Linked DNA regions of Drosophila melanogaster. The gene in region 1 interacts genetically with each later gene. Each region holds a gene or a part of one and is shown on either strand. Other genes may lie near its edges.

What was found.
Region 2: of Fpps (region 1) and SNF4Agamma, changing one suppresses a phenotype caused by changing the other (phenotypic suppression), as found in Drosophila melanogaster (one study listed by BioGRID).

What each region holds. Positions count from the first base shown.
Region 1 is NT_033778.4:11,303,945-11,309,848, forward strand, and holds Fpps (farnesyl pyrophosphate synthase), read right to left. Parts: upstream 3,585-5,904; 5' UTR 3,499-3,584; coding exon 3,317-3,498; intron 3,016-3,316; coding exon 2,921-3,015; intron 2,848-2,920; coding exon 2,636-2,847; intron 2,577-2,635; coding exon 2,215-2,576; intron 2,155-2,214; coding exon 1,928-2,154; intron 1,868-1,927; coding exon 1,686-1,867; 3' UTR 1,567-1,685; downstream 1-1,566. Other genes in the region: CG7741 (uncharacterized protein), read left to right, coding at 1-207, 264-581, 640-748, 807-1,135, 1,194-1,351, 1,407-1,548; CG7745 (uncharacterized protein), read left to right, coding at 4,003-4,153, 4,212-5,581.
Region 2 is NT_033777.3:21,153,784-21,159,920, forward strand, and holds the start of SNF4Agamma (SNF4/AMP-activated protein kinase gamma subunit), read left to right. Parts: upstream 1-2,578; 5' UTR 2,579-2,628; intron 2,629-3,654; exon of another isoform or gene 3,655-3,713; 5' UTR 3,714-3,874; intron 3,875-5,454; exon of another isoform or gene 5,455-5,606; coding exon of another isoform or gene 5,607-6,137. Other genes in the region: cDIP (common Dpr-interacting protein), read right to left, coding at 5,607-6,137.

The DNA of each region.
Region 1 (5,904 bases):
AGCAGTGGTGTTAAAATTGCCTATCTAAGTGGTTTGGAGGCACAGGGCACTGCAGATTCCGCTGGCTCGGAACACGAGTTCACCAAAGCCGATGTCATCGCTGTGAGGAACTCATGTTTGGTGTCCAAGAACTGCTCCACAGAGTACCGCGGTGTGGATGTGCTCCTAACATCGCAATGGCCCTTTGGTATGCAGGAGAAGGAAAACGTAAATATACATCTAGAGCACTTGTTACTGTGAAACTAACTAATTCCTCTTCTCAGGCCACAGCATCCAAGTTGGTATCATTTCTTTGTCGTGAAATAAAGCCGCGCTATCACTTTTGTGCCATTAATGGAACACACTACGAAAGCGCACCCTTTCGGATGCCCAAAGATGAGACTACCCAGTTTGAACTGTGCACTCGCTTCATTTCCCTTGCGGAAGTGGGAAATGCCGAAAAAGCCAAGTACATCTATGCACTCAGCCTGAAGCCAGTAGACAAATCACGCTTATTGGACCTAGCGCAGAAGACAACAAATGAAATTCCGTGTCCTTTCATTGGCTTGGACTTAGGCGGAGCTATTGGCAAGAATGATTCGGTGGGTAACCTTTACATATCTATAAGTACTCCAAGTGACTAATTATATATTCTTTCAGTCAGAAAACCGACAATACTTCTACGACATGGATGGTGGCAGACGCAAGCGACAAGGCGGTGATAATAACAAAAGAGATAAACGTCCTAGAATACCGCAGATTGAGCAAGGTTTGTCTAGTACTTAATTTTACAAGCTGCATCCTTAATACTATTCCTATATTTGTAGATAAATGCTGGTTCTGTTTATCCTCACCTGATGTGGAGAAGCATCTCATTATCACTGTGGGCGAACATTTTTATCTTGCTCTGGCCAAAGGACCGATTAACAAACACCATGTCATGATATTGTCCACCAAGCATGTGCCCTGCGCTGCTCAACTAAGTCCAGATGATTGGAAGGAGCTCAACAAGTTCAAGGCAGCTTTGCGAAAGTTCTTCAAAACGTTAGGCCAAGTGGTGTGTTTTACTGAACGGCACTATAAATCGGTTCACCTACAAATCAACGCGCTTGCCTTTGAAGAAGGCTATGCCTGGAAGATAAAACATAGTTTTGAGGTATGCTCACGACATTCAACCTTTTATAACATATGATGTATATCCCACAACATTGCAGGATAAGGCGGAGGAATTTAATCTGGAATTTGAGACACTTCCCGCATTGGATTCTGAGAAAATGCTGCCTGAAATGGGACCTTATTTCCTGGCCGAGTTACCCGACGATAGCACACTTATAACGCGGCAAATGAAACACTTTCCCATTCATTTCGCAAGGTGCGTTAACTTCTCGATTTAAGCTACCAACTCTTGACTAAACTCATTTTTTCAGGGACGTGTTCTGTTCGGAGAATCTTCTTAACTGCGATGAAAAAGTGAACTGGAAGGATTGCCTTCTCGATAAGGACGAAGAAGTGGCGTATGTGGAAGATTTCCGAAAGGCTTTTGCGCCCTTTGATTTTACAGACGATTAAGCAAAGAACATTGTATGTATAGTAAAAAGTTCATATCGGTTGTAATTGCTGAGCCCTTGCTAACAGTTCATCCATGTAAATGCTAAAACTACAATTTAATTAAAAACGTATCCGTAAAGTCGTTGCGCTTGAGTAATTTAGGAGTCACGTTGGTAGATTTTGTTGAGTATTTGCAGGAAGGTCTGGTGAGGCACCCCGCGTGAGGTTTGTTGTATGTGCGTTTTAATCATGTTGTAGGATTCCTCCTCGAAAATGGCATAGGTGGATGGCAGTCCAAGTTCCTTGTACAGTTCTTTCACTCGCTCCACTTTAGCTGGTTCTGCAGGTTAATATTCAAAAGTCAATGTCTAATTGTGCGGGTTTGCTAAGCTAGTTTTACCTTCTTTGCCATAGCAATCGACCATGATTTGCTTTTGCTCGACATTGGCTCGCTGCATTGCCACCACTGCCAGCCACGAGCACTTGTTGTCCTGAATGTCGGTTCCAATTTTACCAGTCACTTCCGGATTACCGAAGCAGTCGAGGAAATCATCTTGAACCTGGAAAAAGTTGCCCATTTCTAGGAGAATGGTCTTCGATTGACGGAAGGCCTCTGCGTCTTTATAGCTAAACAATAGAGCGGAAGATTAATAAGCGGAATCTTATATATGTATGGCCATTACTTACCCAGCCAAGTGCAAAGCAAGTGCGAATGGAAGGTAGAAGGAGTAATAGGCAGTCTTATTTTCGACAATTGCTTTGTAGTTTTCCATTGTGAATTCCGAGACACAGCGGTTCGAGTTCAGTTGGTCCAACGATTGTCCGCAGGTAGTGATGTATGTGATTTCGTGGAAGAGCTCCATTAGGGCGACATAGCAGTCCAAGTGGCTGAAGTGCTTCTTGAGAATGGCATACATGGCGTTTTCAATCATAAGAGCATCGTTAATGGCAGTCAGGCCCACGTTCTCCACCTTGTGCCAGCAGGGTTGGCCGCGTCTGGTGGTGCTGTTGTCCATCACATCGTCTGAGATGATGAAAAAACTTTGGAGCTGAAAAGATGATCGATAACTTTGTATTAGGAAAACTATTTAATGCATAAAACTCCTACCATTTCCACACACCAGCCCAGATACTGGGCGAGCTTTATGTTCTCCGGCGTAAGATCCTGGGTGGGCACTAGATTCTTATACGTGAGCACGGTGAGGATGCCGCGGTTCTTCTTGCCCCTGGGCACATTGTACTGGAGGACTTGGGCGAACCATTTGGCTGCGTCGCTGCAATTGTATGCCTTCGTCACGGTGGTGATGTCACGCACAAGATCTGCACATCGAAATATAATTAGCATTAGTATTTGCATGATAATTGTTACTGGGCATAAATAAACAAATCTCACCTGGGAACACGGCCATAAAGTCGCGACTCTCATCTTTCGACACCGTGACGCGAGCGGCAATGGGAACCGAGTGATTTTGGAGCGTCGATAAGGTTCTGTGGACAAAACAAAAGTCAAGAACAATAGAGCCCATAACTGACACCACCAGGCAGGCACAAATACATACACACACACATGCACGCATCTATGGTCTACGTGACTGCATAAGCGGCTCGATACAAACTTTCTCCCCCACTTGAAATCAAGAAAAAAAGACCCCGAAACTCCTTTTCGAAAATCACGCCCAAAACAGGCCTCCGATACATGCATACCATGCCCATGCCCATACCGGTCGAAATGTAAACAAAACAAACAGGCAAGGCAAAGGTCAAGTGCGAAAACCGGTAGATTGATTACCTGCTAGTCTTCTTCAGCTTCTGTTCGTTGACCAGTTCGGTGGGGAGGCCGCCAATGGTGTCCATGGACTTGATGATGGGCTCTGCGTTGACCTCGTCGCTGGTAGAGATCAGGCGTTGCAGGCGCAGCGGGCTGGCCAGGATCCGCTGCTGCGGCAGGAGCATACGGGCCAGTTTAAACATTTTTATTTAAGATTATCGGCAGGTAACTATCCGCTTCACAAAACGGCAATTCAACTTCGGGTACCAAATTGCCAGTGTGACTGAATCTCGGTTCGCAAAAGAACCCACCTTAAAATTTCAAATAACCATAATACGTTTATAGCAACTATTTTATAGCTGACTTTTATTTTTCGAGAATTTTGTGAAGGTAACTTATAAGTTAAATTTTTAAACATTTTTATTTAGTAAATTCAGGAACAGCAAATGATTTACTTTTGCTGAAATTATTAATTTTATTGCGTGTTAATTAATTAAATGCATTACTATATATAAATCAAAATGCTGACGAATTTAAACATGATGCAAATTGTCGAATATATTTCGATATCAATATCTTCAAATTATATTTGACACTCTGCTGCTACATTTTCGGTCACACTGTTTCGATGTCCCATGAACAGTGTTGGAAATGGCCTGACATACACCAAAGGCAAATTGGCAGCTGAAAACACGAATTAAACTAAAATGATGGATGAGCAGCTAATTGACGAGGTAGCGCAGCACGGAGTGATCTACAACCGGCAGAAGTACTACCTCAACGGCGGCGCCAATGGTGGCAAGTACGAGACGAAGGACGAGGCCTGGCAGCTGATTGCGATGAAGCTGCGCACGGATGGTGAGGAAGACGCGCTCCTCCGGCAGATCCTCTATATAAATGTTGCCCTCCTTTCCAGTGGACACGTGCAAGAAGCGGTGGAAGTACCTACGCGAACGCTACGTGTCGCAGCGGAAGCAGGGCGATCCACCTGTCTACGAACACCTGTCGCGTCCATACCTGGAGAAAATGAAGTTCTTGGACCAGCACATCCAGCCGCGCAAGTCCTACCGCCATGTGCCGAACTTCCTAACATCTCCACAGTCCGCCAACAGCTCCGGCTACAACGAATACCAGGTTGATAAGTCCAATGGCTCCATGAAGAATGTGTCTCAGTTTGGCAGCTCAGGGCAAAGTCATCTTTACCACCAGCCGGATCAGCAACACGCAATGAGTGCTCTGAGTAACGTTGCTGCATCTGCGCTGGAAAACGTCAATGGCCAGGTGAAGATCGAGGCGGACCAGGTGTTCAGGGATTTTGCGGCTGCCGTGGCCTCACAGCAGCTCCAGCACATATCACAGTCACAAATGCAGCAACAGGCGGCGGCCGTTGCAGCTGTAATGGCTGATTCCTCGCAAGGTTATCAGGATCAATACAAGGATGGCTCCGTGGGCATGAACGGGGCCCAGAACAGCGCTGGCAGTCTGACCTCAACATCATCCTCGATGAAATCACCGCTGTCGTCGCCGCTGCAAGGAATTGGGGCAGGATCCCATCATCCTCAGCAGCAGACGCAACAACAACAGCAGCAGCAGCAGCAACAAGCGCAGCAACAGTCGCCGGCATCTGAACAGCAGCTTCCGGTGGTACATTCCTCTTCCAGCGCCACGGGCGCTTCCATCGGCAACAGTTCCACTCTGCAGATGCAACAGTCACATGTCTATAACCCCAAGGGCGATGGTCTAGACTCTTCGTCATCGAGCCATTTCCATATGAAGAAACCCCGTATTCAACTAAATGGCAATGCCCATAACCAGATGACCAGCAATGGTAGTCACTTTGGCAATGACTCGGACGACGAATCCGATGAGAACAGCCATGATCTGATGGAGCCGCAGGCTATGATGCAGCAGGAGAATCACTACAGCAATTCGATGCCCATGCAGCGGGGCAATGGAAATGGGAATAACAGTAGCAGCAATAGCGGGAGCAACAATCCCAGCGGCAATAATAGCCACAACAACCAGCAGCAGCAACAGCACCAGAACATGTTTCCGTCAAACACGGACTTCCTTTTCCAGTTATACCAGCAGTTCCCACATCAGGCCAGCAGTTCGCATCCCGCAAACTTCGGGAAATTCCAGGCGCCGCCCAATCATCCGGGTGTGCAGCGGTTGTCTGAGCATTTGCTGGGAGAATTAGTCACCACGGAACTGCTGAAAATGAACAAGGAACGGAAGAAAAGTGCACAGAAACGGATCCTAGAAATACTATTCTTCGACGATTAAAGGGCTAGCTACTAGGTATTTGTAAATAATGTAATCTATTATCCTTAACTTATGTTATTCGTTAGACGGTTGTCAGATAATAGTAATTGCATCGCTTTGGTCAAATTTCCCACCAATGAGTCATTTGCAAAGCTCTACGTTCTACCGAACACTTTTCAAATGTGCTAGTCAAGACCAGCAATTGGGATTCCATATCTGCATTAATTTATGTTTTTTTATATATGTTTAAGAATATAATGATCGGTTTTAATTTATTTAAATTCTTATTAAAGTGTACTCAATGGAAAAGTGTCTTTCCAATGTGAAAATTTGCAATTTATGTG
Region 2 (6,137 bases), on another chromosome or scaffold:
AATTGAAAAACGTGATTGTTCTCAAAGAATTTAAATAAAAGGAATAGGACTTTTCTTAAATTACTTAAATATCGTATATATGTATTTATAAATTAAGGTCGCTGACTTTAGTCGCAATTCAATAAATTGTATATGCAATTTACTTATAAAGATGCCAAGCTTTTTATTGTCATGCCTAGCATTGGCGGTAATCAAAAATTCCTCTTGATGCTCGGAAATTAGTCACATAAATGGTGTCTCATGCGAGTAAACAATTTCGTTTCTAGCGAAATTTATTACAGATTCAATTGAGAAAATAAAAACAAACGATAAAAGATATGTGAAATGCTTGGCTGGCGTTTTTATTTCTGCGCAGCCAGGCAATCAACCAAAAATATCACACATACGCCGCGTTGTCGCGTGGCGCTCAGTCAGCTGTTCAGCCCACACCGCTTTTCCTATATATATTAATATTTCTGCAGTTGAATGACTTGTGTGGCACACTTTTAAGGAATTCGTTCATGCACTTTTCGAGACTTTCAATTATGATTTCCACAAAGAGAGAGTGAGAAAGAGCGTGGCCAATGTGTACATTATGTAGTCTGCTTAGAGGCGTCAAGAAAGCCAAACTAAACTAGCGTGCAATGAGCCCGTAAAGTCAACTTTCCGACTGCCTCTGACCACTGCACAGTGGGGCGAAACTCGGATTACCAAGCCAAAAAAACCAACAGCGTTGAACTAAAGTCATTCCATAGAGCCAACGTGGCGTATTAGTAATGTTAGGAAATGTTAGCTGTAGTTGAGTTGAAACTATTAGTTAAAATTCGTTCAAGTAAAGTCTATATAAAATTAGGTATGTATAATGCAAGATATATAAATCAATGACCATTTGTTTTAATTGTTTTGATTGGTTAATTTTAGTGTTCATAAAAGCGTCTTTATATCTAAGTTTTGCTAAGTTTTTTATATTAGAGAATTTACGGAAAATGTTTTATATAGTTCCATCAAAGATCAATATACTCTAATGCCATTGGCTTAATTGAGTTTCAGTTGTTTTAGTCAAAGGAAACAAGAACTTTGCCACCTGTGCGCAATATTGATTTGATTTTTCTCACACTCCATTGCAGTTTTCGGCGAGGCCGACAAGGAAGCATCAGCCACAGGATGCAGAGCAGTGCCGGCGGAGCGTCGGGGGGCAGCAACTACGAGGACGTGGCCGCCGCCCGCCGAGGACGCTTCCGTGTCACCTCCTCCACGCCACAGGGCCCGCCCGAAACGACGCTCGGCCGCTTTCGTCTCATGCCCACGTGTAAGTTGATTTGGTACTTTTTCGCCTTTACAATTTGAGTTTATATAAAGTATACGACATTAATCATTACAGTTATGCTAATAGTAATTGATATCTTTTGGTCAAATTCTCGATAATAAATGCATGGTGCTGAATACTGACCCCTTCTTTCGCCTTTGCAGCTAATTATGGCGCCATTTCGCCAATCCTCCAGCGGGGTCGCTTCGCCGTGATTCCCGAAGAGCCCCAAGCCGGTTCCCCCGCATTGGGAACGCCTCCGCCGGGCGGCCGAACAGCGCGTTCTCCATCGCCCGAATGGGACTTCGACATCGAGCAGGTGAGTGTTCCCAGTTCCTCGGCTGGGATTGATTGATCGAGCTAGCAAAAAACCCTGAGCATCGAGGAAACTTATTTTCGAGAGTACTTCAAATGTATTTATTGCGTCCTTGGACCTATTTGGAATGGTCTAAATGAAGTTCGTGAATGGTGGCAAATTCATCGACTCCGATTTCAAGTATTTTGCTGTTTCTGGTGGCGTCATTGTGTGCTCCTCGGTGGCCTCTGTGCAATGCGCCATTTTTATTGATTTTTGTTGGCTTAGCTGAAGTTTCAAAGAGTTTGGGTGGGCTCCGAAAGTGTGAAAGGCATGCCAAGGCAACTGGTTATGATTATTTATGGGGCATAAAATCTAATTTCCAGCACTATGATGGAAATAGGAATATGCTTATGTACATAAGTTTAATTTTTTTTAGCTAAAGCTAGCTAAAGTTTTTTTTATAGCTTTTATAGCTTTTTTTATAAAAGCTAAAGTTTTTTTTATAGCTAAAATGTTTTCTATTTTGTATGTTCGGCGTGATTTACAGAGCGGAGCAATTTTTGCAATTCAAACTTATATCATTTTGGCGCCTAAAGCGGCGGTGCATGACAAAAACTGATTGCTATTGCGAACACGGTCCGATCTGGCAACGCGTTGTTTTTTAAGTGTGACCGCCGCCGGAAAGTAGCAAAGCGCATTTTATTTAAAATAACTTCTACGCAACTAAAGAATTCTCAATGATTCTTGTTTATTGAATAAATAAGTAGATATATGTGCGTATTTACTTACGCGAGTGGGCACTTAAGAATTTACTATTTAAATGCACATATTTCAGTAAAATTGCAAACAACGAGTTATAGAAAAATACTAAAACAACGTTACAGTTGTGGTCACGCTAATTCCAACTGGATTGTAAAAAGATCTCTAGCGATAACGATAGGCGAAGAGTAAGACCTTTTCTGCTGGATTTCGCAAACGATAACGATGACCACAATCGTGAGTTAGGTTGCGAACTTTGCTTGGTGAAAACGCAGCGGATTACGAGGTTGGGAAAAACTTTTAATTCGCGTTAAAAAACGGGAGTGCAGTGAAAAACAAAGCAAATTAAATGTTCTTAAATTCTTACTAATTTATAATAAATAATTTAATTGAGAGAAAATTCCGGCATGGTGTCAGGATAGCATGTCCGCGCCAGTGGGTGGCTTAGCCATAAAATTCTTCTGTGATAAGCTGCGTGAACAGCTTTTAATTGTGCGCGAATGGATTGCAGAAATTGCAGTGACAACAACGGCAACAACGGACAATCGATCTTTGTTCTTTTGAGTGCGCAAGTGAATTGTGAAACTTCTTTCTTGTTACACAAAACAATAGCCTCTAATCACTTTTCCTGCCCATGCATACACACACATGTGTGCATATGTACATCCCTATAAAAAATCAATAATCGGCGATCAGCTGTTACGCATACAAACAAACACATGGCGTCGCTGGAAAGAGCGACAGAAACGTTTTGGAAATTTTCCACGGACAAATACTTTTATTTGCCCAGATTTGCTATTCTTCTGTTTTTGTTCCTTGTGTCAGTTTCTAGCTGTGTTTCGCGCAGTAATGGTTTAGATTCTTAATAAAAAGTGGCAAACACAACAACGTCCTGCTGCTCCTCTTCTTCTTCTCACCCCTTCCATTGTCCGATCACTGCGTGTTCCAATTGGAAAGTCGAGTCCAAAGTGGAAGCGCGCGCCCGAATAAATTTTCATTTTGATTCTTGATTTTTATGGCTCGCATTCTTTGCTTTTATTAAGATCGATTCGGTTGTTGTTGCTGGTGTTTTCGTGTTTTGTGATTTATTTGGTGTTGAACCAAATGGCTGATAATTAGCCGAGTGAAATGAGTGCTGTAATCTAATCTGAAAAGTCAACACCTCGAAAGTGTTTGGACATCCAGCGAAAAGTCGTCATTATAATTTCGCTCTAATCTCTGAATATACACTCATAACATATATATAACATATAATGCGCCAACACAACCAGCTAATTCGTTACGTCTCTTCTTATTTACAATAATTTCTTAGCGCAGCTAAATGCCTAATCGCGAAATTGTTTACAAAAGTTTTGTTTTCCACCCGTTCAGGTGAACGTGAATGTGTGTTAGTGTGTACGTGAATGTGCGGATGTGTGTATGCGTTCCTGTGTCCGTGAAATTAATTTTTTAACCGAAATTCGACAATTGTGATTCTGCAATCTGCCAGCGCGAATCAGAAACATCCAATTACTGATAAAAACACACAAAAGGTGGGTGACAATTTATTTTCTTTTTATAATTATCGAAAACCTGATTTACTTCACTGCCTTTATTTTCTTTTTGTGTTGATATGAGCGCTTGACGTTTGATTTTCCCCGAAACTTTTCATCTGCCTTTTGTGTCGGTGACTAAGTTGAGTGGGTGGGAAATTCCCCCAGTTCGCGGCGACGCTGGGAAAATACCCAAAATCGCCCAAAATTTTTTCATAATTAGATTTTCAGAATGTGTAAACAATTTTATTAAATTTTTTTATATTTAGAAAACATTTAATAAAAGCGATCAATTATGTAATAGATAGTGTATAACAGTATCAATAACAGGAATAACAGTATTAAATCAGGCAATGTAAAATATAATAACATAAAACAATTCAAAGGGTCTTACCTGAATTCTTCATACGACTTTTTTTTGTCGAAACTCATTTGAAGTTATGGTTATAAAATCGTGAGTGGATTTCTTTAAATGTAAAAGTACCCTATCACGATGCCTACTACATTTTAGACATTGACTAATTAAGTAAGCACACTTCAAGCGAATGCCCAGAAATTAAAAAAAGATAGCTACTGAAGTTGGCAATCAGGAAATGTCGAACTTTGATCTGCGGATACAACTACTAGAAGTCGCAGATAGTCAGTCGCACTATATGGTAAAATTGAATGTTCGCACTTACAGCTGCCACGATTTGTGTGCCGCCAATTACCTTAAAACAAAAATTGCACTGCCAATGTAAACAAAACGTATTTGAAACTCGTGTTCGAATGGATATACATATGTATGTATGGATTTATTCCTAATCACATGCACACGATACTCCGGATCAGCAGATCGACCAGTGATCGTCGAGATCCGTGAAATTGGATTTGTTTCTACTTTCCGTCCTTACGAAGTGGCTGCACTGAAATCGAAACTGTTTGTTTATCTTAGCAATTAGTTAGCCATAAATGTGCGAGTAAGCGAATAGAAGGGATAAAGCATAAATAATTAAAACTGTTCGCATTAGCAGATGGCAATAAAATAACTCGGTTTCTGGTCCATTCGATCGAATTCAATATTGTTGTTTAGTTTCCGAAAATATTGGTTTTGTAATTGACTTGACTTTGTTCAATTCAACTCAAGTTCCCCGAGCCCCACCATCTTGTCTTCGCCCTCCAGTTTTCTTCTCGTTTTTCCATTTTGGTTCGCCAGCCCGAGTTGAACGAACCTCTTTCAATATCTTTCAGAAAAAGAACCCAACTTTGCTTTGCTCGAAAATCAATATTATTGTTTAAATATTATTCTACGTATACGACACAGCGAGCAATAAATATTTACTAGATGTGCTCATGTTGCAAATTGTATTGGTTTTTTGGGGTTGAGTATGCAAAATCAGCAGGGAAATGGAGCAGAAATTGTTTTCGAGATTAGGAATTGAATAGGCGTAGAAAAAAATGATATTCTAGGAAACTAAATCTTAAACAAAGACGAAAAGCCTTCCTGTTTTGTTAGATTATGGTTCCAACTTTGTATATTATCAAGAACTGGTAAAAAAAACATACACGCGAATTCTTTAGTGGAATTCTTCCAACAATTTAAAAAATGATTTATTTATTGGATCGAAAGATTTTATGTTTAAAATTAAGAAGCTTTAGGAAATACTTCAAATATTAATTATAATGTATACATATAATTGTAAAGCTTTGAAAATGTAGTGATCACATAAAAAATGGGCCATATTTAACAACTTCAAACGGACAAGGTCACTTGACTCCAAACAGTTTTGTTGAGCACTTCAAAGGCCTGAATTTGTTCATTCAATTGGGCCAGTTTACTGAATATCAAATCGAACTTGGAATCAAAGTGCTGCACCACTGCTTTCAGTTCATCGCGCAGTTTGTCCACCTCGCTGGGATCAGAACTACTTGTTATGGGCGAGGACTCTACGCTGGCGGAGATTTCCGAAGAGGAGGAGGAGTCCACACCCTCTTTTTCGGGCAAGCGATACATGCAGGCTATTCCGTGAAAGTATTCCCCCGGAAAATCGGGATCGTAGTTATCCACGGTATAGGCAATGCCATTGGCACGAATGAGCACATCCATTATGTTTCTCAGGCTGAAGCAGTTCCAGTTATTTCCATGAATATAGAAGTGCGTTAGTTGCGTGAGCGTGGGGAACGCGGATGGATCGATTTCCGTCAAATTATTGCCGGATATGTCAAGTTTCTGCAAATTTTGCATACCCTGCAACGCCTCCAGCGGCAGTTCCATCTGGCCCGT